4 linked regions of the Rhinolophus ferrumequinum genome follow. The protein of the gene in region 3 purifies or fractionates together with the protein of the main gene of each other region. This does not show direct contact. Links are inferred from orthologs where the notes say so. Each region holds a gene or a part of one and is shown on either strand. Other genes may lie near its edges. The genes, in order: HNRNPA2B1, FUS, IGF2BP3 and G3BP2.

Region 1 (8,004 bases), about 2.0 Mb from region 3:
ACCATTTCAATTTTTATTTACATTTTCTCTTCGTATGCAGGAAATTAAATTCTTAAATGTAAGGTGACCTGCTGGCAGAGTACCTTTTTCCTCTCCAAAGGAACAGTTTCTAAAGTTTTCTGGAGGGAAAAAAAAAACTTACATCAAATTTAAACCATATGTTAAACTGCATATTAGTGTTACACCAAAAAAAAAAAAACTGCTTCATCTGAACTACACACGTTTCAGTCATTAATGCTTGATCTAAATTTACTTGACATTTCAAATCAATTTAATATCACTTAATTTAAAAAGCTTTCTTAAGAGAAAGGAGCAAATCTCTTCTCTGGTCATTGAAGGGTTAAGTAGTCATCAGAAGTTGCATTCAATCCTATATCCTAGAACAGAAAAGTTAACTTTTAAATGCCCAGTTTGAATATTTTTTAATATAAAAATTGCTGGTTCCTTACATCCCATAATTTACCATTTCAGAATTTAGTTTCTGAAAAGTGACAGATTTACGTTCCCTTCATTGCTCCCTCTGGTGGAGATTCTAATACATCGCAATCAAAAACCTAGCAAGAATCATTCTTTTCCCATATACCAACTATTCACCACCACTTGGGGCAAAAACTTAAAATTAAAATGTTCAATACATGTAGCAAAATATACGTCATTTTTACCATTCTTCTGACCAAGACCAGTTTTTATGACCAACTAAAGCTTATCTATACCATACCTCCATTTACATTTCACTCACTCATTTGAAAAAAAACCAAGGGCCATGTGAATTGAACTTAGTGGCCACCCCGCAAACTACACAGAATGTCTCTAATTTTACAAGGAAAAAGAAAATATGCCTGAGCTGAAATCTTTTAATCCCCATAAACCAGCAAATAAGCTGCATTAACAGTCCTATGTTTCCGAGCTATCAGTTAAGGTAGTTTTCAGGTGACTAGATTAAAAAAAATTTTAAATATTCAGAAACCAGAATAAATGCAATGTTGAGGACCAACTGCTACGAATACATAATATAAACTGAAACATAAAGTGTAATTTCCACTACAACAGTAAGTATTTTATTACTAGCAAAGAGCATCACAGCTCTCAACCCAGTTCTATGAACGTTTCTCCCTCCAAGCATATTGTCCCAACTCAAAAAAATACAGTGATAAGCAATTCAGAGTTTTTTCTGCATGTTTACTGTGTTCAGGAACCTAAAAATTTTAAAAGATTATCAAACCAGCTCCTGATAGAGTTAAATAACAATCTATTAAAATCGTTATTTGGCATATTGGTATTTTGGATTCTTAACCTTATTCTAAATACTGTATTGTTAATAAATAGGTCTTTCAAAACCCAACTAGTTTAAAAAAGTACATCTGCGACAGTTTCTACCAATCACTAAAAGGCAAAAAACTCATTTACTTACCTCATTTTTTTCCCAAACTTACCCGATGTCCACTATCGATTACAAAGTTATTTTATAAGCATGCTTAGGGTCAAAGAAAATACCCTGGTAGACCCCCTTTGCTTGGGCCCTTATGTTTGCCAATGTAATGAACCGTAATTGCCAACACGAGAATATCAAGTGACAAAGTTCAAATACATAGTGGCCCCAACCTAAAGTCTTGTATAGCAAGCAATACACGCACCGAAAGACTGAGTCGGGTTTTAAACAGAACCTAAGAATAAAATCATTTTTATTTCACTTTCCTCATAATTCCTCGCTAATCATTTATAAGGACCCGTGGTCTTAACCAATAAAAACTATATTTTCTAGTTAAAGTATTATTTTAATACGAAAAAGTCCCGTAAATTAGAGGGAATCCTTCAGGAAAATACAGGATTCTGAAACGAATCATTCCCTTCCCCATTGCCGCCCACATACTCAGTACTAGTCTGATAGGTCCGATTTTCATTTATTTCTCGTTTTCTGCGAGACAACTGCCTTTGAGCCACGGCTGACCCAGATTAAAACCGTTACTCAAGGAAATAAGGGCTGTAAAACAAAATGTTTTGTGTACTCTGGAGCTCGCCTTAAAACGGGGCCCCAAACCACAGAGGTCGCTTTACCTTCTCTTAAGCGGTGCGAACCAACCCTGAAGTCGCCCCCCCCACCCCCCAGCCCGCGCGCGCGCGCTCTTCGCTGTGGCTTCTGAACGCAATGGCGCCATTTCATCGAGGGGAAAGGAGAGCCTCTAATGAGGTGCGCAGAGCTTTAAAGATCCAAGCTCACAAAGCACTCGGAATCCACCTCAAAACGGCGTGAAATCAGGCCGGGAAGAAATAAAAACGGTTAACCACTTCTATTCTTTGATAAAAGAATCAAACTAGGAGACTTCAAACAGTTTAAAGAAAAACGCGGCGAGGAAGGAGAGAAATGAAAATGGCGGCCGCCAAATCCGGTTCCCAGGAGAGGGGGAGGGGAAGCTCCGCAGCCTCGCTCCCGAGGACCCAAAGCCCGCCGAAACGCTCGCACTCGAGGACGTGGGGACCCCCAAATAAGCCCGCTTTAAAAAGTAAATAAGAATCCCTGCCTCCGCGCCCCACATTCACTAAAATGAGGCTGCATCCGCCATGTGGAAGATCCCCATCCCCCACCCCCAGCAAAGGGAAATGGCGCCGGGCGGCTGAGGGTGGGGAAAGTGCTGAACAGGCCTACGCCAAAATTACCTCTTCAAAAATATCCCCAGAACAACCGCTTGTGAAGTGGCCCAATTTCACTGCCGCTCTCCCACGAGGCGGGTGGCCGACTTCCACTGAGGCTCCAACGGCCTCGCCATGCCCTTTCCAATTAACTCATTGATTTCAAACCCGTTACCTCCATCGCGGACTCAGTCGCTTCAGCTCGATTTCCCGCAGCCGAGCGAGATGAGAGAGATCTCCGCGGTCGAACACGAACCGGACTCGTCCTGGCGCTGTAGTGAAAACTGCCGCGGCTGGAGAAACAACACCGCTAGGAGCACCTCCGCACGGCAAGCCGGCGCTGCTGCTACTGGCGCTAGAGCCCCTGCCGCCGCTTTTCTAGAACCTTCCCCCCAACTAACGCGCCTTTACGTCAGGCCGTTGCGTAAACGTCCTAACCGCCGCCAATAGCGAGAAAGCTCTAGGCCCCTTTTACGCCAATTACGTACACCTCCCTCCCTTACGGCAAACGGTAGTGCTTGACGTCACTTGCGTAAATGTGATCTGTGAATTGCGGAAGGCTCGAGTCCTGCGTATTTTCCTCTCTCGGAATTGGGTCCAGCCCCTGCCTTAGCGCAGGGCAGGTGAGAAACGGTCACGCAATTTGAAATTAACGATGTCGGGTGGAGCGTAATCCACAGCCAAGAGGTCCAGCCTCCTCAACCCGGGAAGTGCTCCCTGTAATACTGATTTTGATAATCTCCCCCACCTCGCAATCTCCCTCCATAAAAATCTTTGTAGCCTCCCCCTGCGATTTTCCTCCCCTACCCCTCCCCCTGCGCTGAGGCCTGACTCGGCCCCTTCCGGGAACACGCAAAGCGACTTCTAGTCCACAAATTACACTTGACGCTCCATCAACATAACCCTGGCTAACATTTTTTGGTGTCCAGCACTCGGGTTTAGGAGAGGTTTTCAGAGAGGGTGGGCCGAAATGGGCACTCATTAGTTCCCGATTGTCCCCCAGCTATGTTTTTCTTCACCCCTTCGCATCGTTTGGAGGCACCCACCCCGAAAAGCGAGGAAGTAGGCGGAGCCTGGTTTTGGCGCCAGCGCTGCTGCTGCGAAGGTGAAACGCCTCCGCCGATAAAACTCTGGCCACCACCCTCGCCCCTCCTTTCCTCTCCCTCCCCTCCGGGGACCACCAAGCGCCACCCGGCGAAAGGTAAATGCCACTATCGCCGCCCCCCTCCCCACTGGTCTGTGCTCGGGCTCCCGGCGGGCACAGCGCGACCTCCAGCCCCTCCCCCACGCCGGGCGCGCTCCCGCCCGCTCCGCCCCTCGTGCCCGCCCGGCGTGGGCGGTGCCAACCCCCCCACTCCCGCGGCCGCGGCCCCGCGCGCAGCTTCCCGGCCCCCCTCCCCCTCGGATGTGGCTCGAGCTGAAGGCGCGCAGGGCCGGAGACGCTGCAGACGCGAGACCCGGAGCACCTCCGAGGCGGTGAAGTCGGTGTTTTTCTTTCTCTCTAGCGTTCACTCGGAGGTGGTGCTTAAAATGCGCCACAGAGACCCTCCCCCACCCCGTTTCCCGCTCTCACCCTTCCCCACCCGACCCCCGAGGCGTGAGCTGGGGGGAAAGAAACAGGCGAGCGAAGACCCCGCCGCGGGCCTGGCGTTGGCCCGGCGCCTGTAGTTTGTTGGGGGAGATGAGACTGTCTTTGACAGGGTAAAGAGCTGTGGCGACAGCCGCCTTATTTCTAGACAAAGCGTATTTCCTCCCCTCCCCCATCCCCGATCTAGATGAGAGGCCCTTCTCCCCCCTCCCGGCCTGGTTGGAGGCGGGGGCCTCCCGGGAGGGCTGTGCATTTTCCCGCATCTGCGTGGCCCGACTGCCTGCGCGCGGCCCGCAGTCCGGAGGCTGCGGCGGGCGCTCCGTTACGTGGCCGCCGCGGGGCGGGAGTAGGCGCGGGCCCCGTGGCGCAGTGCCCTTGAACCCCCGCGCCGCGGCCTTTGTTTCTCCCCGCGGATGCGCTGACCACGAGGCCTTAGCTCCCGTGTGGGGGGCGGGGTCTGGGGCTAGCGGGAACAGATGGACGGACAGAAGAGGTGATTTGTTTTTCAAAGTGGCACAAAATGGGACTGAAGCATCTTGCTGTGTTTTTTCCTTTAGTTTTTTAAGTACTGACTGGAAAGAGGGAGGGTTTCCAAGAAGAGACCAAGTTGGGATTACCTAGTCGATTCTTAAGACTGTTAAGAGGTCTAGAGGAAAAATTCACGGTAGTTTACCATTTTCATGGAGTAATTGTGTCTGATTTTGAACCAAGATATTTGGCCATTTTTAAAGAAATGCTGAATATGGTAGAAATGGGATGTGGACTGGAAGAATACCTGTCTACTAATTTTTGCCCTGTAAGGGTGTCTCAGAGTCCAGTGTTCCTAGTAAGGTTTTCAAGGCCCACTTGGTTAGAACACTGATATACTCTCAGGCATATATCACTAATAACTTAGGTAGGAACTCAAATCTTACTTGGATTTGTACAGTATAAGTTTGATAATATGGGCTACATAGGTGGGGGTTGGAATCCAAACAAAACTTTAGTTACCTTTTTGTATCATGCAAACTTTCTTTTAATTGTCATGCATTTTTTTAGCAGTAGCTCTTCAAGTCTGCAATAAAAAATGGCCTCCAATAAAACTACATTGGTAAGTTAACAAAAACCTCAAATGTGTAAGGGTCTAACTCAAATTTTTTCCCCAAAAATTATAACTTTGCATGTCGGTGATTGAGAAATTTACATCCATTTATATATTCTGCAGTCCATTCTCTCCTCAATGTTATGGGGAAAACTAGGGACAAAAATGAAATCATTACATTGAGATACTTATTGGCTTGGCTTAATAGTGTCTTAATTCAATTAAAGGAACCTAGTGTTGGAAGAAGAGCACAGTATGAGCGTCACCAAGTATATCTTGAAGTAAAAATGCACAAATTTATATAACATAAAAAATATGTTGCAAGCATAGACAAAGCAGCAAAGCCCTTGTTGATTGGCATAATTATCTGCCTCACCATACTGAATTCTAGGGAAATAAAGTATTTTCAGTATTGGCCAATTTAATTGAGCATGTACCTTGTACACTTAAATGGGGCAAAGTCACTGAATCAAATTACTTTGGTCACTTTATCATATTTCAAACTTGCTCATTCTAAAAATACAAAAGGGCCTTAAATTTAAATCATTGCAGTGTTTTTTTGATACACAAAATGAACAAAATTGCACATATGTCCAGGAAGGAGAGTAGATCTATTGAAACTTCTGAGCAGTTAACATTTTTTCTCTCTAGTTTCTTAAACCCAAAGTTTGCATTCTTAGACTTCATTGAAAGTTCTGTAAATGTGTAAAGACATACGTATATTCAGCCACATCAAGTTAAAAGTTTTTTAAAAGTCACTGGAGTGTTTATATAAAAATCACGAAATTCAAAGGCATGGTTCCCACAGTATTTACTTCTAACACATTGTGTTGTTAATAATTGCAATTATATGAAGGTGAGTGTTAACATCTAAATCAAGCAAAACATTTGATTTTGGTTTGTGTATATTCTCCCCTTGTATTTCACACCAAAAAGGACAACTTGGTGATTTTTAATTTGTGCTATCAATAGATTGCACATCTAAATGAAATATCCTGGGAAACATCGAAATGAAATATAAAGCCTTGCTGGTGAGTCTCTATGGCACAAATGATTCCCATCAAAACCATCAATAGAAAAAGCACAAAGCATCTTCTATGCCCCTTCAGGTTTGAACTGTCCTTCGAATTTCCATAATCAGTAAACCAAAGTGTACATAATTGAATTGGCTTTCTGATCAACTGTGCCCAAATATTGGACGGGAAGGGAATATGCTCTTTTTAATGCTTTGAGAATGAATGTAGATACAGAAAGTAAATAGGTGCTTCTGTTAAAATTAAATTCTTTTTGCACACAAGTATTTTAATCTTCATTTTAAAGTTATTAATGTTATGAGATAAAGTGTGCTATAACTTAAAGGGGAAAGTGGGTGAATTTTCCTTTAAAAAGAAAAAAAGTGCTTGAAACTAGTTTGTGAGTACCATCATAGTACTTCATTTTTTAATGCCAATTTTTTATCAGGGTTTATCCTTTTCATTTTCTGTGTTTTTATCATCCTCTTTATTCTGTTAATCTCTTACTTTCATGGACATAGCTATTTTGTTTTATTATTTAGGATCAGTATCCAGTAAGCACTTGTCCACACCAGTATTTCTTCATTCACTCTTCCCACTATTCTTACCTTCCTGTACTGTAGAGAAGCAGAAAGCTCTCGGACTGGTTGCAGTACCCAAGTATCTTGACTAATGAAAATTGTAAGGCCTGACTTAAAGATAGTATCCAACAAAATAAAATGTTTGCGTTTTTTTAAATTCCAGAGGATTTTCAGTTCTTATATGTGTGTGTACCTCTAAATGACTACATAGTTTTAATGTCCTTTTGCAATATTTTGTAATTGCCGTTACATTTTTCTACTTGCATACTATATTGAGGGATGACTTTAGTGACTAGGCAATTAAGATTTAATAGCACCTGTTTTAAATGATTATAAAATGAGCGTAACATTTGGGATTCCCTCCCACCTTTGTCTCTTCTAATTGACCAGTTTGTTTGTTGTTTTAATTTATCCATTTTCAGTCTTCTGGTAACAAATCTGTTTGTGTTATTGGAAAATAGCAGGTTGAGCTTGGTGTCCTGCTTCTCTCAAATGGTGTTACACTTAAAAAAAATTGAAAAAGCTAAAACTTTTTTAAAGTGAATTTTGTTGGCTATCAGTTTAGACTTCTTGAGAAACCAAGAAAGGTTGTTTTTTTTTTCCTACAGAGTTAAACTGATGTAGCATTTTTGGCCTCTTGAAATGACAGCATTATAGCTTTGTACTAAGTGGTCAGTAATGTTATCAACAGAAATTATGGAAAAATAACCTATTCATGGTCTCTCTGGTTGGCCCTGCTATATAGGATTCTGAACTATGTTTTTCAATTATTGGCGGTTACCTATTTTTCTGTATTGTGGCTTTTAACATTAGTGTTTGAATTGCCAAAGTGGGTCTTAGTGTTTGGGAGCTATAGTTTTGACACGTCTAAGATTCACTTAGTAAGACCTGTCACTGCTACTTAATCTTTTCTCTACCGTTTTTCCCCGAAAATAAGACCTAGCCGGACAATCAGCTCTAATGCGTCTTTTGGAGCAAAAATTAATACAAGATCTGGTATTATATTATACACGGTCTTATAGTAAAATAAGACTGGGTCTTATATTAATTGTTGCTCCAAAAGATGCATTAGAGCTGATTGTCTGGCTAGGTCTTATTTTCGGGGAAACGGTA
Region 2 (7,269 bases), on a different chromosome or scaffold from region 3:
AAGGGCCAAACAAAACACAAATCCTTCCAGAAAACAGGTATGAGACAGAACTGAAGACACCTGCTCACCTCCCCCGCCTCCACCACCCCCTCCGCTGCTGCTGTTGTACTGGTTCTGTTGTCCGTAGCCCTGAGGGGGATTATAGGAGCTTGGCTGCTGTCCGTAGCCTTGCTGTTGGCTGCCATAGCCAGACTGGGGCCCATAGCCTCCACTCTGGGGCTGCCCATAGCTGCTGCTCTGAGAACCGCTACCGTAACTATGGAAGAGGAAAAAGAAAAATGCCAGCATGTCCAAAACTTGCTTTCACTTTGTACATCCCATTCTCTGAACTCTGACCTCAACAGACACCCCCGCTACCCCTCCTAAGTGCCCCTTATAGATTCAGCCCTCCTGTTTCTGGCCTCCCCCCACAACGCCTTACCTTCCCGACGTGTTGCTAGGAGCTGGCTGCTGGCCATAGCCAGGGTAGGAAGACTGCTGCCCGTAGGACGACTGAGAACTCTGGCTGCCGCCATAGCCACCCGCTGAGCCATAGCCCTGGGGAGCTGACTGAGTGCTATAGCCTGCTACGTGGAAAAGAGAAAGGAAGTCATAAAAGCTACAAGGAAAGAGAAAGGCACAGAATGAACTGAAGAAAGCATTACATGTTACCTAATGCTCTACTTGAAAAGTCGCCTCTTAGAACCTGTTTAGAAATCTTGCAACTCATAGACAAAGGAGTTACCCTTCTCTTCTATGCTAAGGCTCATGTTCCAACTTCCACCAGCTTCAGAATTCCAATCTCAACGCCTTCATCCCAAAGCCCGTCTCCAGGACCACCAGTAAGCACAGCCCCAGAGGCCCCACTCGTTAACAGCACTTCAACCTACTCAGCTGTGCAGTATAAAATAGGACAACCCACATTCTCTACACTGCAGGACCTCAGGGCAAACTCCACCGCTCTAGGTAGCACATGATAACAGTCTGACTTCAAACATCTTCAGGCAAATCATGTCCTTCCTGTTAAGTATTAAAAGCCTACAACTTGCTCCCTTTAGTGAATACTTTCCCCACATTTCACCTTCATGCAACACAAATAGAAAAGTAAAAAGCCAAAAATGAAAAGAAACAAGCCCATAAGCGTTTGGTTTGAAAGGACTCAGATGCCAAGGGTTATAGACTGGATGAGGGACAAAGAAACATGTGACAGTTAACACTTCAGCTTAGGTTTAAGAAAAGCAACATTCAGAAAGAGCAGGAAGAGGCGGGGTGGCCCACTAAAAAGAGACTCACTGTTCTGGGTCTGTCCGTAGGAGCCGTAGCTGCTCTGGCCATAGCCGGAAGTGTCCGCTGACTGGCTGTAACCACCGTAACTCTGCTGTCCGTAGGGCTGATTGCTCTGCTGGGAATAGCCCTGTCCAGGCTGGGTGGGGTAGGCCCCATAGCTGGAGCAAAGAAAACCGGTGCAATCAGGAAACCTACCTTAGCAACCCTGGCCCTCCGCAACCTCTGGACGCCCAGAAAATACACTCACCTTTGGGTTGCTTGTTGGGTATAGTCTGCAAAAGAAAAAACAATCATGTCACCTTCGCCTGTCCCTACGAGAGGAGAGCACAAAGCAAAGAAAAGGCGCATTGCTACGAAGACTAAGAGGCCGCAACACCCACCGGCAACACCAAGTCTCGGCGGACACCCACCGTTCCCGGCCCGCAAATTCAACCGGCATCGGAAACCACACGCACTCACACACGTCTGGTTTCCACCACCGCTCTGGGAGGAAGGCCCGGCCGAGGGTCGAGCTACACAAGCTAAGGTCGGAGCCGCCGCAGCGGGACGGCCTTGAACGCAGGCCGGAGGCAGGAGGCAGCGCTGCTCCGGATGTGGCTCCGTGCTCCAGCCAGAACACAAAACCGCCCCCGGAGCGGGCCGCCTTCTACTGTCCGCCCCCCCTGGTCTGCGAGGCTGGGGAAGCGGCCTTTCAGCGCAAAGCTAGACACCCGAGGGGGGACCCCGGGCGTCATCGAGGCGCTGGTCTCGGGAGACGAGGTCACCGGCTCTCGAGCCCCGGGGCTGAGGCTCCCCGGAACCCGTTTTCTCACCGCCCCGCCCTCCCCGAGGCTTCCAGAGGGGGCGAAGCGCCCCCAACGAAGACGCACCGGCCAGACCCCCGCTCCCCACGGCGCCGTAAACGAGGGGCTTCCCCGCAGGGACGGGCCAAAAGACCGGGGGAGGGTGTGGCCGCTCCTTCCCGTTCCCACCGCGGAAAGAGGAAATTCAGGCGGGAAAACGCGGGGGCCCGGGCCCCACTCCCCTCGGACGACCTCCAGGCACCCCGCCTCCGGGAAACGGGTGCGCGGCCCGAACCCCGAGCCACCGCCCCCGGCCGCGTGGCACCCGAGGCGGGAACGGGGAGGTCCCGCCCCTTCCCGAGGGACCCCGGGGGCGGGGCCCACACCGGACGCGCCCCGCCGCGTCTCCCGCCGAGGGTCTCGCGACAGAAAGCCGCCCGACACGGGGCGGGGGCGGGGGGGTTCGCGCCACGAGCGAGGGGGGAGGGGCCAGCAGAGCGCGTGCGCCCGCCGAGTGCCCGGATGCAGCACTGCGACAAAGCGGGCCCCACGGCCGGGCCGGGGACCCGGGGGGAACGGCCACGGACGCCGCGCGTGTCCATCCGCGTCCCGCGTTTCCAACCGCCCAGGGGCTTCCCTCTTACACGGGCTCACCGTCGTGGGGCTTCGTAACGGGGCTGCGAAGGGAGGCCCTCCCGCCCCGCGCCAGGCGCCAGAGCGGCGAAACAAGATGGCGACATCGGCCTCCCCCTTCCACCCTCCGCCGCCGTTTCCCGCCACCGCGGTACGAGACGCTCCTCTACGCGACCGCCGCCCGGTCTCCCCGACCCACAAAACCGCCGCTGGGCGGGAACGAGGCCCCCCGTCGGCGCGCCCCTGCCGCCTCGCGCCCTCACATACCGTTTGAGGCCATGTCGGCGCACGCGCGCACGGGCCGACACGCAGCGAGATCCCGACACTACGGAGCACCGACGCCTAGAGGACTGAGCAGCCCCGCCGCCTGCGTCGACGTTTATGTACGCTTCCCCGCCTACGTACCGCGGAGGAATGTTCCAAAGGTGAAAGTAAGGGGGGGAGTCCGAGCGGCCGCCTCCCGCTCTACGGTGAACATAGACGGCTGAGCCGACAGAAGGGAAGCACGTCGACTAAGAGGCTTCCAATAGTATGTAGAACCATGTGTTTTCTAACAAAAAACTCCGATTCGCTCTGCAGGACTGGCCCACAATGATCTCTACCCCCCTAAAATAATGGTACGGTCTGATTACCCTCTGGGGGCGGGACGAGGGGGGGCCCAGGGCATCGGCGGACGGAACTGTAGTCAAAGCCTGGAACCGCAGGGCGGAACCGAAATTTCTCGGGCGGGCCCGTTTCCCTGGGCCCCACTTTCACTGGGGACGACGCGCCCCTACGCTGCACTCCCCTTGCACTGCACCAAGACGCCTCGTAGCTCGGGCGCCATCCTCCCCGGCTCTTGAAAGGACGTTTGTGTCTTCCCTGAAACACCCCCGCCCCCCCCCCCCCCCCACCCCGCACCCCCCCCCCCCCCCCCCCCCCCCCCCCCCCCCAACCCCCCCCCCCCCCCCCCCCCCCCCCCACCCCCACCCCCCCCCCCCCCCCCCCCCCCCCACACAACCCCCCCACCCCCCCCTCTTGCAGAGTCGCGTTTCCTTCGTCCTTGCCAGGGTGTGTGGATTGTGACGTTTCAGCTGCAGGACAGCATGCAGCGTCGCCTGACGCCGCGCTCATCGCCCCCCCAAACCCGCGGGACCTCAGTTTAGAGATGAGATGAGGGGTCTCTCAGTCTTTTACTGATAAGGAGCTTCTCTTTATTTTCCCGAAGCCCTACCAAGCACCACTGTGGACATCCAGTAGTGACATGTTTGTATAGGGCTCAAGTGCACAGTTAATGGTTTTTTTTTTTTTCCCCATCACGATCTTGGGAAGCAAGTAAAGCTGTGCCCATTTGATAGGGAAGGAAAGCGAGGCTCAGAGGCCAAGTGCAGCGAAAGGTCAGGGGTTCTCATTCGACCCCAAGTCTGTGTGGCTGCAAAACTCGCCTCTCGTTGGTGACGTGAACCCTTTGCGGGGCCCTGAAGTCTGTCCACTCCCTGGGAAAGCAAGGACAAAACGCGACGGTCGAAGTAACCTGTAACTTGCCTGGAACGGGAGATTTGAACGTATGGAATAAAACACCACCAAGGAAGTCATTCCTGGTTCACAGGCACACAGATTGTCCTTCCCTACATACCTGTGACCTCGGTTCCAGAGTTCCTTTGTAGGTTGGACGTGTTTTCCCGGAGAAACAATTGAGGGCTACGCCCTAGGCCTGCCCACAAACTGCTGCTAACCCCGATTTAGGCCCTGATGGCCCTGTCCCCCACCCCTACCCGCATTGAGAGGGCAGTGTGACTCTGGAGTAAGGGCAAAGGGAAATCCATCACTCATTCATTCGTTAATTCTACAAATATTAAGTGTTCTGGGCACTGAGGATGCACAAAACAGATGAAGTAATTTAACAACAAACTAACATTTAACCATAATAGTGTTTATATATTAAATGTGTAACGTTTATAAGAGCATAACAATTTCATAAAGCTTGCTAAGTATCAGGCACCATTCTGAGTGCTTTGAGTATAGCTTGTTCGATCTTATTCACAATAAAAGTTGGTGGAGGAATACATTTTTACAGATGAGCAGCCTAGGCACAGAAAGGTCAAAAGCTATGCCCAGGGCGACCCAGAAAAAGTGGCAAAGCCAAGTTCCCAACCCAGGCAGCCTGTCTCAGAGTTCCTGCTCTTAACCCCTGTGCTTCAACAAACATCTCTTGAGCACTGTGTGATATGTACAAAGCATAAAAATGGGTCAGTCCTGGAACCACAGCACCTTATAACCCGTGGCTGAGATGTGGGTGAGACCCAGAGACACCAAAGTGTACTCAAATTAAATGTGCTGTGACATAGAATCAAGGACTCCAGACACTATAGGGAAAGCGAGTCATCCATCAGGTAGACACCCAAGGACAGAAGATGAAAGAGAGGTGGTAACACTGAAGCCAGGCCTCCCAGGATAAGTAGGAGTTCACCAGCAGTGAAAGGAAAGGGTGTAACTGACAGAAGGAATGGCAGAGACAAAGCCATGGGTGAGGAAGGGCACTCGTGGGCAGAGTGGCAGGGAGAAATAGGCTCAAACTGTGACCTCCAGGAGGTAGGTTTCTCCGGACTCGTCTCTCTGAGTCACAGAACACGGGGCCTCTTACTTCTCCTTAAAAGTCTCTTTACACGAAGGACACCCCTCTCCCGACCCTCCCACCTTTCCCACCGTCATTCTATCTCCTGCCCCTTCGTTCTCTGCCTTTACTCACCCTCCAGGGTTCTGTCTTCAGCCTTCTTCGCAGCTCCTCTGAGACCCAAGACCCCAGCTGTGGGCCTGCTGTGAGATGCAGCTGCAGACAGGTTCTGTGTAGCCTAACGTTGTTTTTAATTTTTGTAACGAGTTGCCAAAACATAGAATAGGGCAAACTCCACGCTTCTGTCTTTTCTTGAAAACTGAGGGCTCGGGCCATCCTGTACATACTGTTGTTCAAGTATGTTATGGTGACCCCGTACACCCAATGCTAAAGAACACTGGGGTTCAGTTAGCAAGAAAGGAGAGGAATGGCTATCGCAATCTCCTTCTCATTTTTGTTTTGGTCTGTTCTCACACTAGCCATACAAATAGTGTATTGAAATAGGCCAGAAACGTAATTAGGGTGTATCTCTTAAAAGGGAAGATTCCATTTATAGCAACACTTGCCTGAAAGATACTCAAACTGAATACTGTATTTCATCACAACTGGTTCTGACCAGCTGAAGCTAATAAACAGGTGTGGCCTTTGAGTGACTCACTGGATGCCGGACCCTTATTGGACCTAACGAAGACTCCTTCCTGGCCAATGAGCAATGGGACTCTGTTTTAACCAATTGGGTCAGACCTATGAATTCATTCCCATCCATCCCAAGTGTTAGTTTTTCGTTGTTAATTAGCATATGACCCTGACAATCCCTTCCTAATACTCAAACCTCTCTTGACTTCTCACTCTCAGCAACCCTGCCAGTGAATGCCTCTTCACTGATGAGTTCCTTTGACTGTCAAGTACCGTCAGCCTTTTTCTTTTTTTAAACTTCGATGATCTTTGTTTCTTCACTGACGATCTTTAGAAATCATTTACATTTAGCTTTATAAAATAGTTTTAAATGAGAATCAGGGCCACAGTTTGACCATCTAGGAAAAGGGTCATTAAACTTTTCTGTTTTAATGGGGAGATGGTAAATACTTTAGGGTGTGTTGTTTTTTAACTTTATTTATTTTAAGTGTGTTTTTCCAGGACCCATCAGCTCCAAGTCAAGTAGTTGTTTCAATCTTGTTGTGGAGGGCGCAGCTCACAGTGGCCCATGAGGGGATCGAACCGGCAACCTTATTGTTAAGAGCACCACGCTCTAACCACCTGAGCTAACCGGCCACCCCCTACTTTAGGCTTTTTAAAGGTCTCAGTGGCAAGTCCTCAGCTCTGCCTTCATATCTCAAAAGCAGACATAGACAATAGGTAAATGAATGGGAGTGTCTGTGGTCCAATAAAACTTTACTTCAAAAACAGGCTGATGGCTGGAGTTGGCCCTAGGGCCATCATTTGCCAACTCCTGAACTAGGATTCAAGCCATTAAGCTATGGTCTATCATAAAAATCAACCCAGGGGCGGCCGGATGGCTCAGTTGGTTAGAGCACGAGCTCTTAACAGGTTGCCAGTTCAATTCCGCATGGGATGCTGTGCCCCTGCAACTAAGATTGAAGACGGTAACTGGACTTGGAGCTGAGCTGTGCCCTCCACAACTAGATTGAAGGACAATGACGTGGAGCTGATGGTCCCTGGAGAAACACACTGTTCCCCAATATTCTCCAATTAAAAAAAAAAATCAACCCAGAAGTAAGGTAGAAATCAAGTTGGAGATCCCCAGCTGTATTTGACTCTCCCCAGATCTAGCCCTCTGCAGAATGGTCCCTAGCAGAAGAGGATCAGAACGCCTCACCATTTCTTCCATGAGCTGAGTGGGGATAGCCTGTCGGACCCCAGACAGTTCATGTACTAACCTAACCAAGGCTTTAGTGATCAGAAACTTAAGACCATTGATAAGAAAGGTTGTAGCTATCAACGGATCCAACCCAATTCCAAAACCAAGATACAGAG
Region 3 (8,095 bases):
AGGGAACTACGGCTGCAAACCCCTCCTGCCCTTCAGCACACACACTCCACCAATACCTAACCAGACATACAGAGTCCTAGTTTAAATTAACTTCCCCGTTATTGTTTGGCCCAGGTTAGGAGTGGGGAGATGGGAAGGGAAAGGGCAGGAACCTTAACCCCACCTTGTGAAACCCAGAAAGGCATAGGCCAGCCCTAGCACCACTGGGAGGGTGCAGCACCTTTCCAATTAGAGTTACAGAGCAGGGATCTGGCCTGCTCTTGAGAAAAGAGCCATTTCTCCCAATTACTCTAGAGGTTAAAACACAGCCTCCAAACATTCTATAAAATGACACACGACACATGCTCTCTGCAAAGTGCAATCCCTTTGCTGAAGTAGCACAAATCTTTAGTCTCCACGATCTCTTGGTGGTAATTCGTAAGCAAAAATATTTTTTTTAAGGATGGGGGAGAGAAGCGGGAGACAAAGACCGGTTTGCAGAAACCTGTCTGCCTCCGGAGTGCGTGCAAGGCGCTTCTGGGCAGAAGAAGGCCAGAGGTTCACTCACGTGTTCCAATCCCAGCTGGCCAGCTAACAGGGTAAAGGCACTCCCTCTCCCCTCAGACTTGGGGCTGGCCTCTCAGGCTGGTCGCCGCCAGCTTAGGACAGAGAAAGAAAGGCAGGACACACTCGTGTGTGTCCACAGCTGCTTTCGCCTACCCTGTACTTATAGGTGTGGTGGGGGAGGGGTCACCCATTGCTTCCCAAGAGTTACAGATTCCCAAAAACTGCCCTCCGACTGATTTCCTGATGAAGCAACTTGCCCTCCTCTACCAGAGAATACTGAGATGGGAGAGCTTCCTCGAGAGACTTAGTCCAATAACACTACTCCAGTGGCAGAGGCCACACATAAGCCCTCTCTTCCTTTGCAGCATTACCCACGCAAACACACCTGCCATACACTTAAATACAAGAGAAAAAGTCGAGAAACGCCACGCCATACAGCCGCCCAATAAGTACAAGAGGAAAAGTTGTTTTCAGCTGTGTTGATAGTCTTTCCTCCCAATACTGGAATGAGAACAGAATCGGCGAGAACAGAATAAATGAGCTCACCTTTGCCTTTTAGGGACCGAATGCTCAACTTCTAAGAGTTTCCCGTGCAGTTCCACTTTACCTGCGGACACACAAGAGGAGGAAGACAGTTGGCCGGGTTTAGCGGCTCTCCGCGCCCAAAGGACCTGCACATTCTGAGCGGCGACACAAGTGGCCTCCTGAGACCCCCAAACGGAATCCGGACGCGACTCAAGACCGGGAGAGAAGCCCGGCACCGCGCGGGTGGGAAGCTGACCCCCTCCCGGCTGTGTGTGTAACTTACAGATGGGTGAGGAGGGGAGTCGATTGGCGGCCCCGCTACTTCAGTCACAGTCTACCCACTGGCAGAGCTCCCCCGCCCACCAGAGGGGGGTCACCCAACCCCACGACAGTCGCAGGATGGACGCGGCCCCTCCGCCCACCTCCCTGGACACACACACAAGACAAACTTAGGAGAGGGGGCTGTGTTGGCTCTCTTCAGGAGGGGGCGCCCGGGCCCTCCGGGAACAGGGAGCGGAGGAAAAGGCTCGAGGACAGTAGAGAGGGTGCAGAAGGAGCGAACGCCCGGAGGTGCATTTCGGTATCCAATGGACAACGCACGAAGGACAGCGCGGCGCCCACCACACCGAAAGCCTCCGGGATCCCAGAGGGACCCCAGCACAGCCTTCCCCTGGGGGCGGCCGGGCCCGCTGCCCCCCTACCCACCGTCCCCCGCCCTCGCAGATCGCGTCCCGAAACCCCCGGCGGCCGCAGCCGGTGGCCGGGTGCGGAGAACAGCGGGTCCCTACCTAGCGACCACAGGCCGCCCCTGTCCACCTGCCCCTGTCTCGTGGACGGCGGAGCATGGAACCCAGGTCGCACTCACCCGCCTCCCACAGTGTGGAGAGGCAGCGCGGGGCCTCCGGTGCGAAGCACCAGCCCGCGGCGGGCCTCACTCCGCAGCCGGGTCGAGGCCACTCCGCGTTCCCCCACTGCCGGGGTCTGGGGCGGGAGCGGCGCAGCGACTCCAATGCCATAAGTAAGCAGCAGAGCGAGGGAGGAAGGAGGGAGGGAGAGGCAGGCGTTCGCGGCCGGCCCCCGAGGCCCGGCGTGCCGGAGCCCGAGCACGCGCCTGGGCCCGGGCGGGGCGCGGGGCGAGCGCTGAGGGTCCCGCGCCGGCTGGCGCCGCTCCCCGGGCCCCGCCACGGTCCCCCGCTCCTCCTCCGAGCCCGCGCCCGAGCTTTCTTGACAGCGCGTCCGCCCTGCGCCCGCAAACCCCCGGCGGGGGGAGGGGAGCGACGGGGGCCCGGGTGGGAGCCCAGCTGAGGAAGCACCCCGGAGCCCACGCGTGTGGCGCCGGGGCCTCGGCCCCTCTCCGCGCCTTCGCCCGGAGCCCTGCGTGAACAAGCCGGCGGCAGCCGCGGGCCTGGCTCCGGGCCCTCAACCCCGGCAGGCCCGGGCAGGCGGAGGCGCAGGGCTGGGGCAGGCGCCCGGCGGGGCCAGGCCGGGGCCCACCTGAAAGCGCCTCGATGGCCTTGAGGGCCCAGCTCTCGTCCGGACAGTCCACGAACGCGTAGCCAGTCTTCACCAGGAAGGGGCCAGACACTGGGATCTTGGCGTCCTTGAAGATACTTTCCAGGTCCGAGGGGACGGCGTTCTCGCTGAGGTTTCCGATATACAGTTTGTTCATTGTGAAGAGTGGTTGTTTAAAAGAATTAGGAGAAAAAAAGAAAAATTAAAACCACCCACAGGGATGGATGGACCCGGAGGGTTTTGTTCCCTTCGTCTTCTCGCCGTTTAAAAACACAAACACAGTAAGAACCAAGGATAAGAACGAGGACAGAAAAATCAGATCCGAGGAGTCTTGTTTTCCCTTTTCTAGGTATTAAAAAAAAGAGAGAGAAATTGAAAAGCCTTGCTAGAACCCAAACGCATCAACGAGTCTTCCTAACTCGGAGGAGGAGGCGGGCTTAGCGAGAAAAAGGAGGAGAAGAGAAGGAGGAGGGGGAAAACTACTTTTTGTCTCTTCCTCCCCAACCCCTTTAGCTTCGGCCGGAGGACTGTGAAAATATCACACTACGTGAGGGCAGGCGCCGCCTCCCCATAAAAAACCCACAAGAGTGACTGGCAGGAGGGAGGGGAATCGGGTTGGAGGAAGGCGCAGGAGGCGGAAAAAATCCGCTCCGAGTGTCCGGCTTTTTGAATGAGCCACGTGTTCAAACTACAAATCAACGTCTCACGTGAGGAATCCCAGCGCCTCAATTAGAGTGGGTTTCGGGGGAAAAAAAGCGAGCGAGAGGAAGAGGGGGAGGGGAAAGGAGATTGGGCGAGGGACCCTGAAAAGGGGAGGAGGCAGCCGGGGAAACGCTAAAGGAGCCGCAGCCGGCGAGCGAGGGGAGCGCGGCTGCTTGAGCTGATTGTCACCACGGAGTTTAGAAAGGGTTATCCGGTCGGGGCGGATCCTGAGGGGGAGGGGAGTAGGGTTGGAATATCGATTTTTTTCCTTTTTAAATGAGATGGGGTGTGGGTACTAACTAGGCAATTCCTCAGCTCTAGTTACCGGAGTTTTAAATATTCGATTTCTTAAAATAGGTAATTAACAAAAGCAAAGAGTCACAATTCCGAACTCGCCTTGTGGCTTGGATGACATTAGAAGTGTAACCTCGGCAAAGCCGCGAGCACGTTTCCAGAGCTGGCAGGGGCGGAAACGCGGCGAGGGGGTAGGGTGGATAGGGGCGGGAGAGGCGGGCAGGGGCGCCCCACCCCTGCACCCTTCGCGGGCCGGGGCACCGGGGAAGGGGGGGGGGCCCCCAAGCCTGGGCGGTGGGGGATGGGAGCCCGCGGCGTCCTGGGCGGGTGTCTGGGCGACACCTCCTCCGCCTCCGCCTGCGCTCGCAGTGGCTCTCGGCTTCGCGATTGCCATTGGTTGCGCGATTCAGAAAAGGCTCTGGGATAAATGAGGCCGGGGGCGGGCTTGGCCAACAGTGGGGGAGGGGAGCGCAAGGGTGGCGGTTTCTGGCGTGGGGATAGGGGCGTCCCGGGGCCCCGGAGGCCGGAGCAGAGAAGACAGAGTGGGAAAAGTCGGTATTTAAACGGAAACCATATCTTCCTGTAGTTTCCAGAGGAGGAGGAGTGGGGTAGGCTCGTACTTTCATTTAAATAATTTTAGTTGGAGAACTTGGGACTCTTAAAACAGAGAGACCGCTCTGCGTTACCCCTAGGTGTTATTCGCACTTGAAAAATTATTCGAGTCTCTTTCTGCCTCTTTTCTGCCCGCATTTGGCCATGAGAACCATTCAGAATTTCCCTTGTACGTAACGAGTACAATGCTGGGTGTAGGGGGAGGGTCTGGGCCCGGTGGAGCCTTCCTGGGCAACAAAATGTGGACTGGAGACGAGGAATACGGAAATGAACGCAGTGCTGGAAATCTCCAAATGTCGTTTAATGATTGTCTACTCCACTCAAAGGCTTCACTTGTACCAGATACTTGTGGTATATTTTTAACAGGTATTCCATGAAAAACAAAATGCTTATTTTAAATAAGTGAATGGAATTCTATATAGCATAGAATTACATACAAAACTATTTAATCACTTCGTACTCTTACTAGTAGGAAAATGTGTTGTGTAATAGACACTATTGTGATTTACACTGAAATAGCTGAAGTAATTATGACAATTGATAGTTAATTTCCCTTTGTCAAACCCGTACATGGCATTTAAAAGTATATTTTCCAATAAAAAGATGATTGGTGATTTTTTAAGTATGTGGGAATTATTACATGATATAAATAGTATTTACGTTTTTTTTCTTTTAAGAGAAACTTATTTTGTAATTTTGTGTTAAGGAACCGGAAGGTGTCAGATCATCCATTTTAAATGCAACTGTTCTTTCTACTAGGTTTTTTTCCTGGCAAGCAAATCCAACTTTTTAAACGTAAATTCACTTTCACAGTATTTTCATTCACGTTTAACTTAGGAAAATGTTTTTACTTTATCAGATAAAGAGGACAAATGTGTTTTTGTATAATGTTTAGAATTGTTTTGTGAGCTCTATCTTGAACATTTTGGTGAAAATTTAAGTTTATGGCTAGGTTTAACTTTTAAAAGGAGCTTGTTTCCTTTTGATGTTTTTAAAAAGAGAACTTTGGTTCTAAAAAAGAAAAAAATATGTATTTATGACTTCTGTGGTATTCAAAATATCAAAAATTGTGAATTTATTTTTCATGGACCTGTTGCATGCGCTCAAAAACTATTTGGAAAAATATGCTTTTCATTCATTTGTGTTTTTCTAAATACTTCTTTAAATGTTATAAACGAGTCTTCTGATAATTTAGCATTTAGTGATTTTCATAAAAACAAATTTTGTATGTTTAGCTTGTTTCCAAAGTCAGTTGAATGGTACCTTCTGGATTGCTGACTGAATTTGCTGCTATTAAAACTGAGACCAAAGGAAATATCTACTTCCAAAGCATGGGATAAATTGTTTATTTTCCATAAATACTAGCCCATGCTTGTCTGTCACTATCAAACAAATCTAACAGCTGGAATTTAAAACAAGTGTGTGCTGTTTTGATGAAATATGTTCCTAGGACTCTTGTGAACTTAATCTGTGTATTATTGTAACAAACTGGATACTCCGTCTAGGACCTTAAAAACATACACGAGTTATATAAGCTCACACATCAAAAAGGGAGGTGGACACAGTCCACTTCGATTCTTCCAAGCACTGAGAGATAAGTATACACTAAATGGCTGAGTAAAAAGAGCATGGGTAATTGTTTTTTATTGGCATTTCAACTGCAAAAATAACTTTGGTGGATTTTCAAAAATGAATATAAAGTCAATCTAACTCGCAATCTTTTAATGAATCTCCCACAAGAAATTAACTATGTATATGGGCTACTCCAAGTTCTTCCTGAAACAGTTGCAGCTCCTAATTAATGTTAACTTCACGAAGGACTCCCACCCATTGTATGTGCTCTGATGCGACTGAGTCTTTCCAACTGCAGCCTGTTTACTCTTTGGACAGCTGCACCTCCTCATCTGCTGACCGAAGGGCAATAAAAATGTTTATGGGTGAGTGTAATATTAAAGGAGAAAAAAGCTCTTTAGAAGGTCGGTTACCGTTGCGGTATCCACAGGTAATGACCGAAGGCTGAGCAGGTAAAGGAGGGGGAAAGGAAATTCTCGTTGTTACCCCTAACTCCCGCTGCCTCGGGGACAAGCGGGAGACGAAGTCCTCGGGTGAGCACGCAATGCTCGCCGCGTCGCCTGGGCCTCCTACGACGTATTTTTAACATCATTCTTGCTCCTTCAACCAGCTCTCCTGGGCTCTGATGTTTAAACCTGATGCGTGATAAGTAGTAACCTGGCTCTGCCCTCTTCTGAACCTGCCTTCAGTTATTTTTGTTTAAAATAAAAAATGGTGCCCCAGAAGATGAGAAGATGGGGTTGTTTCCTTTCCTCCTGGCTCTGCCGGGAGAAAGAGGGCGGGATCCTTGCAGCGCACACTGGGGAAGATCCTTCGTCGGCCGCCGGCTAGCCTCGGAGGCCCTCGAACACTGCACGGCCCTGGCTCTGCCGCGGGACAGGCGCCTTCTGGCTCCGCTTCGGGTTCTGTCCGTCCGCGTGGAGCTGCGTGGACTGGTTAGACTTGGGGGTCGGGGGGCGCCTCTATCTTTACCCTCACTGTATGACGCCACCTGAGGTCCTCCTCCGTGGCCCGCGGGGGCGAATCAAGCAGCGTGCGATTAGCAGACCTCCCGGGCTCCCAGCCTGTTTCGACTTTGCGAGGGGCTCCCTTGCGCTGGGAAATGTTTGGTACCCAAGGAAAAAGACCGCAAGAAGCCCTCGCTGAACCCAGCGCCTCTGCCCGGGGCGGGGCGGGACAGTGAGACAGGCGCCCAGGGCGCGCAAACGCGGCCCCGGGGCGGGGTTTTGTGCAGCACGGGGGCCGATTCGCAGAAACCAAGTTGAGCAACCGGCGTGGAGAGAGACACCGCCCCTAGCTGGGGAGGGGGCGGGGGTCTTCGACTCTCACCCGATTGGTGGATGGAGGGAGCCTATCATCGTCGGCTGCCTCCGCCGGAGCCGTTTGCTGGTTTCCATTCATTGGCCCGCTAGCCACCCCTGGATTTCCATCTTTTGTGGCGCGAAAATAACCCTTTACTCCCTCTCATTGGTTCTGTTGTTGCTTAGGGTTGAGGTTGGGTTCCCCTCTTAGTGCTTTCATTTTTCCTGCCCTTTAACTGTGAGCCCCCCAACCCCCAAAGAGGAAAAGGGGAGATGACTAAGGAAGAGTAGAAAATAGTTCTGCGTGTGCGTGTGGAGCCCGCCCCTTGGGCTGACCGCATGGTGCCCGCAGACTCCCTTCCCTTCCCCCAACGTCCAGCGCCCGGAGGTCGTGGGTTTGCGCCATGCTAAGTAGCTGAAGTCACACCGTTTCTTTCGTTTCCAACATCTTAGAATGTATACGTCTTTTTAAATTACAACAGCAAAATACGTCTCTAGATGCCTGAATTTTCCTGGGCTTCTAGAGAAATCCACTCTTTCAGCCCCCTCCTTTTCTAACCCCCTTTGTGGTCCACGGGATTGTTACAAGCAAAACCAAACAACCCCTCCAAAAAAAAGCAAACGAAAAACTCCGGGTAATATCAGCTATGCCGAGACCAATATTTTCGTTGAAGCTGTCCTAAGACCAAAGAAGCTGAGACCGACCTTGAAGGATTAGCGATTTCTGTAGCTGAAATGTTCTAATTTTACGGACATTTGGTGGAGACGGTGAGAAAAAATAAATACAAGTTTGGCTTAGGGAAGCACAAAACAAACGAATAATCATATTTAATTTCACTAACTGAAAAAGCTAACAGCTACAGTGGTGTGTTCCAGGTAGTGGTGTCTTTGCAACGTTTGTAATTATCTACATAAGTTGCTATTGGTCTTCTCAAAAATAAAGATCAGAACTCTGACCATGACAGAAAAGAGGGAAGTATAAATTTGTTTGGTATATTTAATTTCGTAACAGACTTTCCAATTCTTTCATT
Region 4 (7,756 bases), on a different chromosome or scaffold from region 3:
TAATGTATAATTGTATCAACGATATTTTTGGACACCTATTTTCCAATAACTAGTCTTTAAAAACCTGTATGTGATGTATTTTAAACATAAATTATCACCTCCATTTGTCCTCCTAAGCAGGTACAGACAATACTCCACAAACCCACCCCACTCCCAACCAAAAACCATCCTGTGCAATGATCTTTCATTGTTATTGTTGAGTTTGCCACTAGAAAGTAAGAAAGCATAGGGAAAGTAGGCCACTAAAGAAAGCCACTGAACTAGAGGATTGTAAGGAAACAATTTTAAAAACAGATTTCAAACCAATGAATTTTGTTAGTTGTTCTGTTGTCAGGTTTGGTTTAGGAAAAGAAAAACCATTTTTATTTACCCCAGTTAAAATTTTGGATTATGTGTATTTTAATGATTCATGGCATTTATTCTACTGTGTTACCCCGAAAATAAGATGGGGTCTCACATTAATTTTTGCTCCAAAGAGGCAGTAGGGCTTATGTTCAGGGGATGTCATCCTGAAAAATCATGCGGGGGCTCATTTTCCGGTTAGGTCTTATTTTCGGGGAAACACGGTAAGTGTTTAGATTTATGAAAGTCAGAAGTACAATGGCCTAAGTCAGACAGTCACAGTTTTTTCATGTTTTCTCTATCTTTACTTAAGAAATGGTTCTTGACCATCTATCATGTTAAAGGAATTACGCTAGATGATTAGAGTACAAATAGGAACAGGACATGGTCCCTGACTTTTCTCTATAAAATCAGCAGAAGTGCATTCACATGGAGGCCCTTTTTTCTTAAATAAGGAGTCTATTTCATGGCTGTTCCATAGTGATGATGCCTCTGCTCCCCTTTTAGACCCCAACTGAGAGACAAATCAGCCACTGTACCCTCTCTTGAGCCTAGAATAGGCTGCTCCACCCTTTCCCAGACACCAGAAGGGCAAGACAGGCAAGGTCAGGGGGAAGTATGGGGATTCAACCTTCAGCTCCTCTGCACCCAAATATCCATCCCTCCTGCCCATTGTCCTTCCTGCCCAGTGGATGCTATTCGGGAAGAAAACAGGTCAAATGAAGGGAAAACTCACAGTGACTTACTATACTCACCAAAATTTAAAACCAAGCCGGGCATTTAAAACAGGCCAGTGCATTAAAACAATTTTGCTAAAACGTCAAGATACTGTTTTTTCTATTACCAAATAATATATGTAAACATCCATGAGCCCCACTGCATTTCAGAGCTTTATCCCTAATGATGGGGTGGAGTGAAGCACATAGAGGTGAGGAGAGGCTCAGGGAGGGGTGAGGCTTAGGGACTGGGTCAAGTTCTTTGCACACATTACTTGGTGATAAAAAAGCTGAGCATTTATTGGTTACTTTTTTTAGGCTGCAACAAAATGCCCCCATGGAAAATGTCTGATGCAAAATGTCAAGTGTCTCGTTTTAAAGCAGAGGACAATGCTTAGTGCACAGTATTTTTGGCAGTATGATCCCCACTATTATCCAAGACACCCAGGCTTAAAACATTGGCACTAGCAAAGGAACTTTCACCATAGCCTTTGTGATAGTATGTATTATCCACAATTTCACCTTAGAGATGGAAAAAGGACCCTCCTCCACAGCATAATGTTCATATATCCTTTAATGTTTTCTTCATTTATGCATCAATACCACCTCTCATGAGAGTGCTAAACAACAGACGTACAAAAATGGGTAACATAATTCTGCCCTCAACAGTTTGACTTAACAAGCATTTACTGAGAGTTTACCACATATATTAACTGAAAAGCACTAGTGTGTGTGTGTGCGTGTGTGTGTGTGTATTTCAGGGAAAGTTTTCAGAAGATGCCAGTGTTAAGTCTTAAGGAACTAGCAGGTGTTTCCTTGATGAAGAAGGAGAGGTAGGGCATATATCCAGAGTATGTGAAGGAGGAGCTGGACAGATAGGCAGAAGTCAGAACATGATGGGCCTGTATACCAAACTATGGAGTTTGGACTTTATCACTGGAGGATTTTAAGAAGAGGACTGTCATGCAGATGATTTGCTGATGCAAGGCTCATCCAAGGGTGGACTGGAGACAGGAATGGAGGGAAATCAGAGCTTGAATACTGACAAACTAGTTAGGAAACTATTACTATAAGCTTGGTGAAAAATGATGAGAACATAAATTATCTCAGAGGCACAGAGGAGGGAAAGCTGAGGACCTATTTGAGAAATACTATATTCTATAAATAGACATGATAGGACTTGACTAGTAGACATACGGGGATGAAATCCAGAGTTTAAAAGTCTTTCCTGCTTTCTACTTCTAGTTTAGGCAATTATTTGGCTAGCGGTACTGTGCATAGGAAGCATACTGAATTTTTTTTTTTTTATAGGGAGGCTGGGGAATCTGAGACCCGTGGGACATTTAAGTGGGGAGGTGTATGAATCAGTTGGGTAACTGGGCCGTACACTTTTTAGACTCAAGAAATTTACAAGACTACTCCACATGCACGTGTACCTGACAACTCATTCTGAAACGAACAAGGCATACAGATATGAAAAAAGGACATTTTTCATGCTAAGAAAACCCGCTGAAAATGCAGAGATTGAAAGTTAGTAACAAAACATTATGCTACTAGCTGTCAAACTGACACTGCAGAGCAATGTATTTTCCCTAGTAAGCTAAATGCAGGGTTCGCTTGGTTTTCTCCTCACACCACTTAAAAATAGCGGTGTACCTGGTGTTTAGATCTAGGAATTCCTTTTCGCAGGTTTGAAGAGCAAGATCTGAGAAATGCGCCCTCCCGTGGAAGTAGAATGAGGGGGCTCTAGCACCCTCTTTACTACCAAACAAAGCCCTGTAAAGAAATGCAATTTACGGGGATCAGAAGGCCACAGCGCTCGGACTGCTAAACCAAAAAACCAAACCAACCCTGCCAAGGGTCAGGACCCCTTACCTGTCACGTCGGCCTAAGGACAATTTCAGTTTCGACTCAACAAAATTCGACTCTCCGGTACGATAGCTTGCAGTGCGTCCCGCTCCGCAACAACTGAACACGCTGCAAGCCAAAACACGTACACTGTCGGGATGCTCTCCAGCCCGCAGGGCCGGGCTTCGACCACGTGGGTGGCTGGGGCCAGCCCCAGCGACCTGCGAAGGGCGGGAGTAGGAGGCGTGTCCCTGCGGAGGGAGGCGGTCCCTGCGGAGGGAGGCGGTGCCTGCGGAGGGAGGCGGTGCCTGAGTAGTGGGCGGGGCTTGGGAGGACCCGTGCTCTCGGCCTTGTTTCGCCTACTTTACCCCTTTGCCTTCGCCCTTCGAGCCGCCACGTAATGCCACGTCCCCCGCACATGCGCATTTCGACTGCTGGTGGCCGCTGTTTCCGGGCTCAGGGGGCTGGAGCGGCCGCCGAGTAGGAGGCGGCGGTGGCGGTGCCCGGGGATCGTAGAGTGCTTGCTGGTCTGGGGCCAGGCCCTGCGGAGGACAGGGGAAGTTTTCTTTTCTGAAGTGGCTGGTAGAGCCGGTGGCTGAGCGGCAAGATGAATTTCCTTCGCGGGGTGATGGGGGGTCAGAGTGCCGGACCCCAGCACACAGAAGCCGAGACGGTGAGAGGAGCAGCGGATCTGGGACTTGGGAAGGGTCCGGGCAGGAACGGGGACGGAGGACTCGGGGTCCCGGAGGTCACCTCCCGCGCCCCACGGTGGGCCGGGGATCCACATGCCGCCTCCCCTTTTGCCTCCCTTCTCCTGAAACCCCCGAGTTATTCCCTTACGCCCCCAGCGCAGCCCCCCACCGCGGCGGCTCGGCCCTGCGGACAGCAGCCGCGGGAGGATGGTCGGTGGGTGGTACCGCCGGGAAGGGATCGATCCAGGGCAGAGGTGGCACGACCTATCTTACACGCCCCTCGAGGCCGCGGGCCTCTCCCTCCTTGCTTTTCGCCGGTGTCTCCACTGGCCGAGAGGAGCCTGAAGTCCTTGCTCCCTCTCTCGAGGTCTGGAATGGGGAATTGGGGAAGACTGGGTTTAAAACCCAGCTGTTAAAGAGAGCATGTGGCTAAGAATAAAAAGATAGTTTGGGGCAGAAAGCCACCTGCTCCTGTCCCATCAGCTGGAGGAAGGTCGTTCTACCAGGTGTTACTAGATCAGACCCCGTGTTTCGGACTCAAAATATATGCCATTTGGGAAATACCTGGACGTTGTAGGGATGTTTCGCGCTTAAACCGCTTTAGGGACACATTCCCCGCTCTCCCTTCCACTCACGCCGTTCAGAAGTCTGAACCCCTGATTTGGTAACACGATTTACAGCGTCACTTTAAAAAACTTGTTGGCCACAGAAAACAGTCTGGTAGTTGGTTCAATTTGAGGATAAACTGACTTTGAAATGTGGTTAGTGTCTATTAGAACTGAGTATGATTTTTTTTAAATAAACTTATTTGAAAATAATTTTAGATCTACAGAAAAGTGACAGATATGACATTTTAAACGTGAACTTTGGAAATAACTTTTATTGTCAAGCGCGTACCTTGTGCTAGGTGCTGTGCTGAGCTCTTTGTAGTCCACATTCTCCTTTAATCCCTAATCACCCTGCAAGATAGGTGATAGTGTCCTCACTTTACAAATGAGGCTGAAAGAGGTAAAGTAACTTGACCGAAGTCACACTACTAGTGTTATAATAGAGCCAGATTTCCACCAAGGTTTGCCTTACTTCAAAGCCTAAGCCTTATTGCTGATGCCCATGTTTTAATATATATCTGGGAATTTTGGAGAGTTAAATAATATTAAAAGTAATCTCACAGATCTGGGTTAGAACTGTTTAAAGCAGAAGTTGAAAGCTGGTGAATCTGTTTTCCTTCATTTGAAAATGAGATTACACCCAAACACACCTAATATTTGGCTTCTCTTGTTGGTTCCCACAGGGATACAAGGCAACTGAGCTGCCCTATTAGAGGACCATGCTCTCTCTAGATTACTATAGTCATAGCCCACCTCTTCAGCTTTTGTTTTGTTTTGTTTTGTTGTCTGATAGCTTTTTGTGTGGAGCACCAAGTTTTAAAGTGTGGTTTACTAGAACTTGTTTTGGAGTTAGATCTTGATTTGAATCCACCCCTGATTGGATTGGACTGATCAAAGATGGCTAATCTAATACCCAAACAATAAATTAAAGAAACTGTCTGCTGTTATGGGTGTAATGAGGATTAGGTGAAATAAAAAATAGAAAGAACCTAGCACTTAGTATTTGCTCAATAAGGTTTTTTATTGCATGTATTTAGGGAAAGAATAATCTTTTTTTTTTTTATAATTGGCCTTGTCACAATGACTTCTGCAGAAAAGTGGCATACAATTAATTGAGTATAGGGTTTTAAAGCTAGGAGGCCCTTTGCAGCTCATCCAGGTTGAACCCCCTTGTTTTACAAGTTAAGAAACTGAGGCACAGAGCACTTAAAACAACGTGTACAGTATTGTGGAGCTGAGACTAGAACACTTTGATCTTGCCATAGTGAATAGAACAACTTAGTTTTTATATCATGATTTCAAAATGAAGCTTGAATATCACTTGTGTATGTTGTATATATAAACAGAAAGGAAAGTGAGTATTCTTGTTCTTGCCTAACTTTGAGTATATACACTCAACACTGGAAAAATAGTTTGTCTTTGGAAGAGAATTAATAGTTTATTCTGAGGTACAGAATGAATAAAATTTGTTTCACCATCTCATTCCATCAGGAGGTATAATGGGTATAAGGGGTCATGGCTCACTAATTTAGAACTTTATAGAGCATCAGAGTGTGTGGTACAATATTAGTTTTAATTGGTAATTTGATCTGGCCTGCATATTCAAGTTGCCGTAGTTTGGAGCCTCTAACTTATGCATTGTCATTTAGTATTTCTAGGATTTTTGCTTTTATTTCTGCAAAATTAAATTATTTTCATAGCGATTTTTCCATTTTTCATGTTTTTCTCATTTTTTTCCAGTGGAAAGCCTCTTTTCTTTGTCTAACGTCTACCTGTTCTTCAAATTCAGCATCAATGCATTCAGTAATCTTATACTTCTTTCTCTCACCAAATTGTAGGTAATCTCTTACCCTCTGAGCAATCTTCACATTCAAGAAGATTGTGTATTTCTTAGGCTTTCTACCTTTTATATATGTCTCATCTCTTCTAGACTCTTAAGTCTTTAGGGCAGGTTTCATACGTATTTTTTTGTCTTGTTATTTTTTTGTTTTTCTCTTTTTTTATTTATTTATTTATTTATTTTTTCTTTCTTTATTTTTGTTTTGTCTTTGTTCATATGTATTTTAATCTTTATTTTTCCATGGTAAGATACTCAGTAAATATTTATTAAATGAATTCATTATAGTGATAAATGAAAGAAATCACAGATCGGTAATCATAACAGCTTATAAATTACTAGATGCTAAAACAATACTTTTTTTTTCTTTTTTTTTTTTTTTAAACGAGGGCGCAGCTCACAGTGGCCCATGCTGGGATTGAACCAGCAACCTTGGTGTTATTAGCACCACATTCTAACCAACTGAGCTAACTGGCCACCCCAACAATACTTTTTAAAGATTAAGAATCACAGTTTTGGAATGGTTGAAGTCTATTATGTCAAACGTTTTACTTAAGGAATTTTTCAGATTTACTGTATACCTTCTAAATATGAGAGTTATATTATTGATTGTATAGTACTTAGCTTTTCATACTCTCAGTTAAAAGTAACTTTAGACTGATATTAAGATGTTCTTCAGAGACAAAGTACTAAATATCTGCATTTGTGTCATGCTAGTCAATAATTCTATAAAGTTCTGAATATTTTATTCTAAAATTTCGTCCACATTAAACTTTTCATATTTTAGAGTCAAATAAGTTTTAATTTGATTTCTCTTTTAGATAGAGAAAGGCACTGACTTCTGATGATTGTAGTCTCTTAATCCTTCACATACTTTTCTGGGTGCAAATAAACACTAATTATAGTAAAAAACCCTACTCATTCTTCTGAATACTTATACAGGCTTAATTTTCCATCTACCTTCCAGCTAATACCTTTTTCCTTTTTTAAAGCTAGTTTATTGAAAATCCCAAGAGAAGTGTTGACTACATTTGATGATAAGTGTAGGTTTTCCTTTCATAAGTTGTATCCCAAGGCATGAAAGTTGACGAAAGTCCACACAAAGTGTGCAGAAGTAGCATACTGTAAGGTATCTCTTTTTAGATCAAACTTTGATCAGCTGGCTTAAAAACAAAACGGCTAAGAATATAGACACAGCTGTACTTTCTTTTAATAAAAAATGAGTGTGCACTTAAATTTAGACATAGTTTTGGTTTGGTCAAGCACATTTGATAACACGTTACTATAAATGTGTAGTCTGAAACTCCTGTTTGGGTTTATGTTTCATATTGTACATTAATAATCAGGTCAGTGTCCCAACTGGTATGTGTTTTCTCTCTTGGCTCTTGCAATAACAATGTCAGAAAAAAACATAATAATAATTTGTATTTGATTACTTCTATATCCAACCCAACATGTCTTTTGTATTCTTATTAAGTAACGTCTGTTGAAAATTACATGGCTTTTTTGAAAGTGTATTAGATTACTTAGGGTGGTTGTAAAAAAAACTAGTATCATTTACATTTTACATAGCCTGGCGTTATCAAAGTATGTTCCAGAGAATTCTTTCAAGTGGAGGTACTTGAAAGAATTTTGTTACTGAAGAAGGGTGCTGTGTGATGATCAAAAACAAAACAAAAAGCCTGATATTTATAGATTTATTAAGCAAGCACT

Evidence for each region.
Region 1: the proteins of IGF2BP3 (region 3) and HNRNPA2B1 purify together in Homo sapiens (affinity purification with mass spectrometry; 4 studies listed by BioGRID and IntAct, with this or other methods). This does not show direct contact. The link is inferred for Rhinolophus ferrumequinum from reciprocal best matches to the Homo sapiens genes IGF2BP3 and HNRNPA2B1.
Region 2: the proteins of IGF2BP3 (region 3) and FUS purify together in Homo sapiens (affinity purification with mass spectrometry; 3 studies listed by BioGRID and IntAct, with this or other methods). This does not show direct contact. The link is inferred for Rhinolophus ferrumequinum from reciprocal best matches to the Homo sapiens genes IGF2BP3 and FUS.
Region 4: the proteins of IGF2BP3 (region 3) and G3BP2 purify together in Homo sapiens (affinity purification with mass spectrometry; 3 studies listed by BioGRID and IntAct, with this or other methods). This does not show direct contact. The link is inferred for Rhinolophus ferrumequinum from reciprocal best matches to the Homo sapiens genes IGF2BP3 and G3BP2.

Annotation. Positions count from the first base shown.
Region 1 is NC_046303.1:15,226,638-15,234,641, reverse strand, and holds the start of HNRNPA2B1 (heterogeneous nuclear ribonucleoproteins A2/B1), read right to left. Parts: upstream 3,022-8,004; 5' UTR 2,810-3,021; coding exon 2,804-2,809; intron 120-2,803; coding exon 84-119; intron 1-83. Other genes in the region: CBX3 (chromobox protein homolog 3), read left to right, coding at 5,283-5,306. UniProt on the Homo sapiens protein: Heterogeneous nuclear ribonucleoprotein (hnRNP) that associates with nascent pre-mRNAs, packaging them into hnRNP particles.
Region 2 is NW_022680357.1:239,678-246,946, forward strand, and holds the start of FUS (RNA-binding protein FUS), read right to left. Parts: upstream 3,085-7,269; 5' UTR 2,962-3,084; coding exon 2,949-2,961; intron 1,539-2,948; coding exon 1,514-1,538; intron 1,425-1,513; coding exon 1,273-1,424; intron 567-1,272; coding exon 422-566; intron 257-421; coding exon 69-256; intron 1-68. UniProt on the Homo sapiens protein: DNA/RNA-binding protein that plays a role in various cellular processes such as transcription regulation, RNA splicing, RNA transport, DNA repair and damage response. Binds to ssRNA containing the consensus sequence 5'-AGGUAA-3'.
Region 3 is NC_046303.1:17,191,540-17,199,634, reverse strand, and holds the start of IGF2BP3 (insulin-like growth factor 2 mRNA-binding protein 3), read right to left. Parts: upstream 3,090-8,095; 5' UTR 2,741-3,089; coding exon 2,566-2,740; intron 1,154-2,565; coding exon 1,093-1,153; intron 1-1,092. UniProt on the Homo sapiens protein: RNA-binding factor that may recruit target transcripts to cytoplasmic protein-RNA complexes (mRNPs). This transcript 'caging' into mRNPs allows mRNA transport and transient storage.
Region 4 is NC_046288.1:32,119,072-32,126,827, forward strand, and holds the start of G3BP2 (ras GTPase-activating protein-binding protein 2), read right to left. Parts: upstream 3,092-7,756; 5' UTR 2,934-3,091; intron 1-2,933. Other genes in the region: USO1 (general vesicular transport factor p115), read left to right, coding at 3,514-3,579.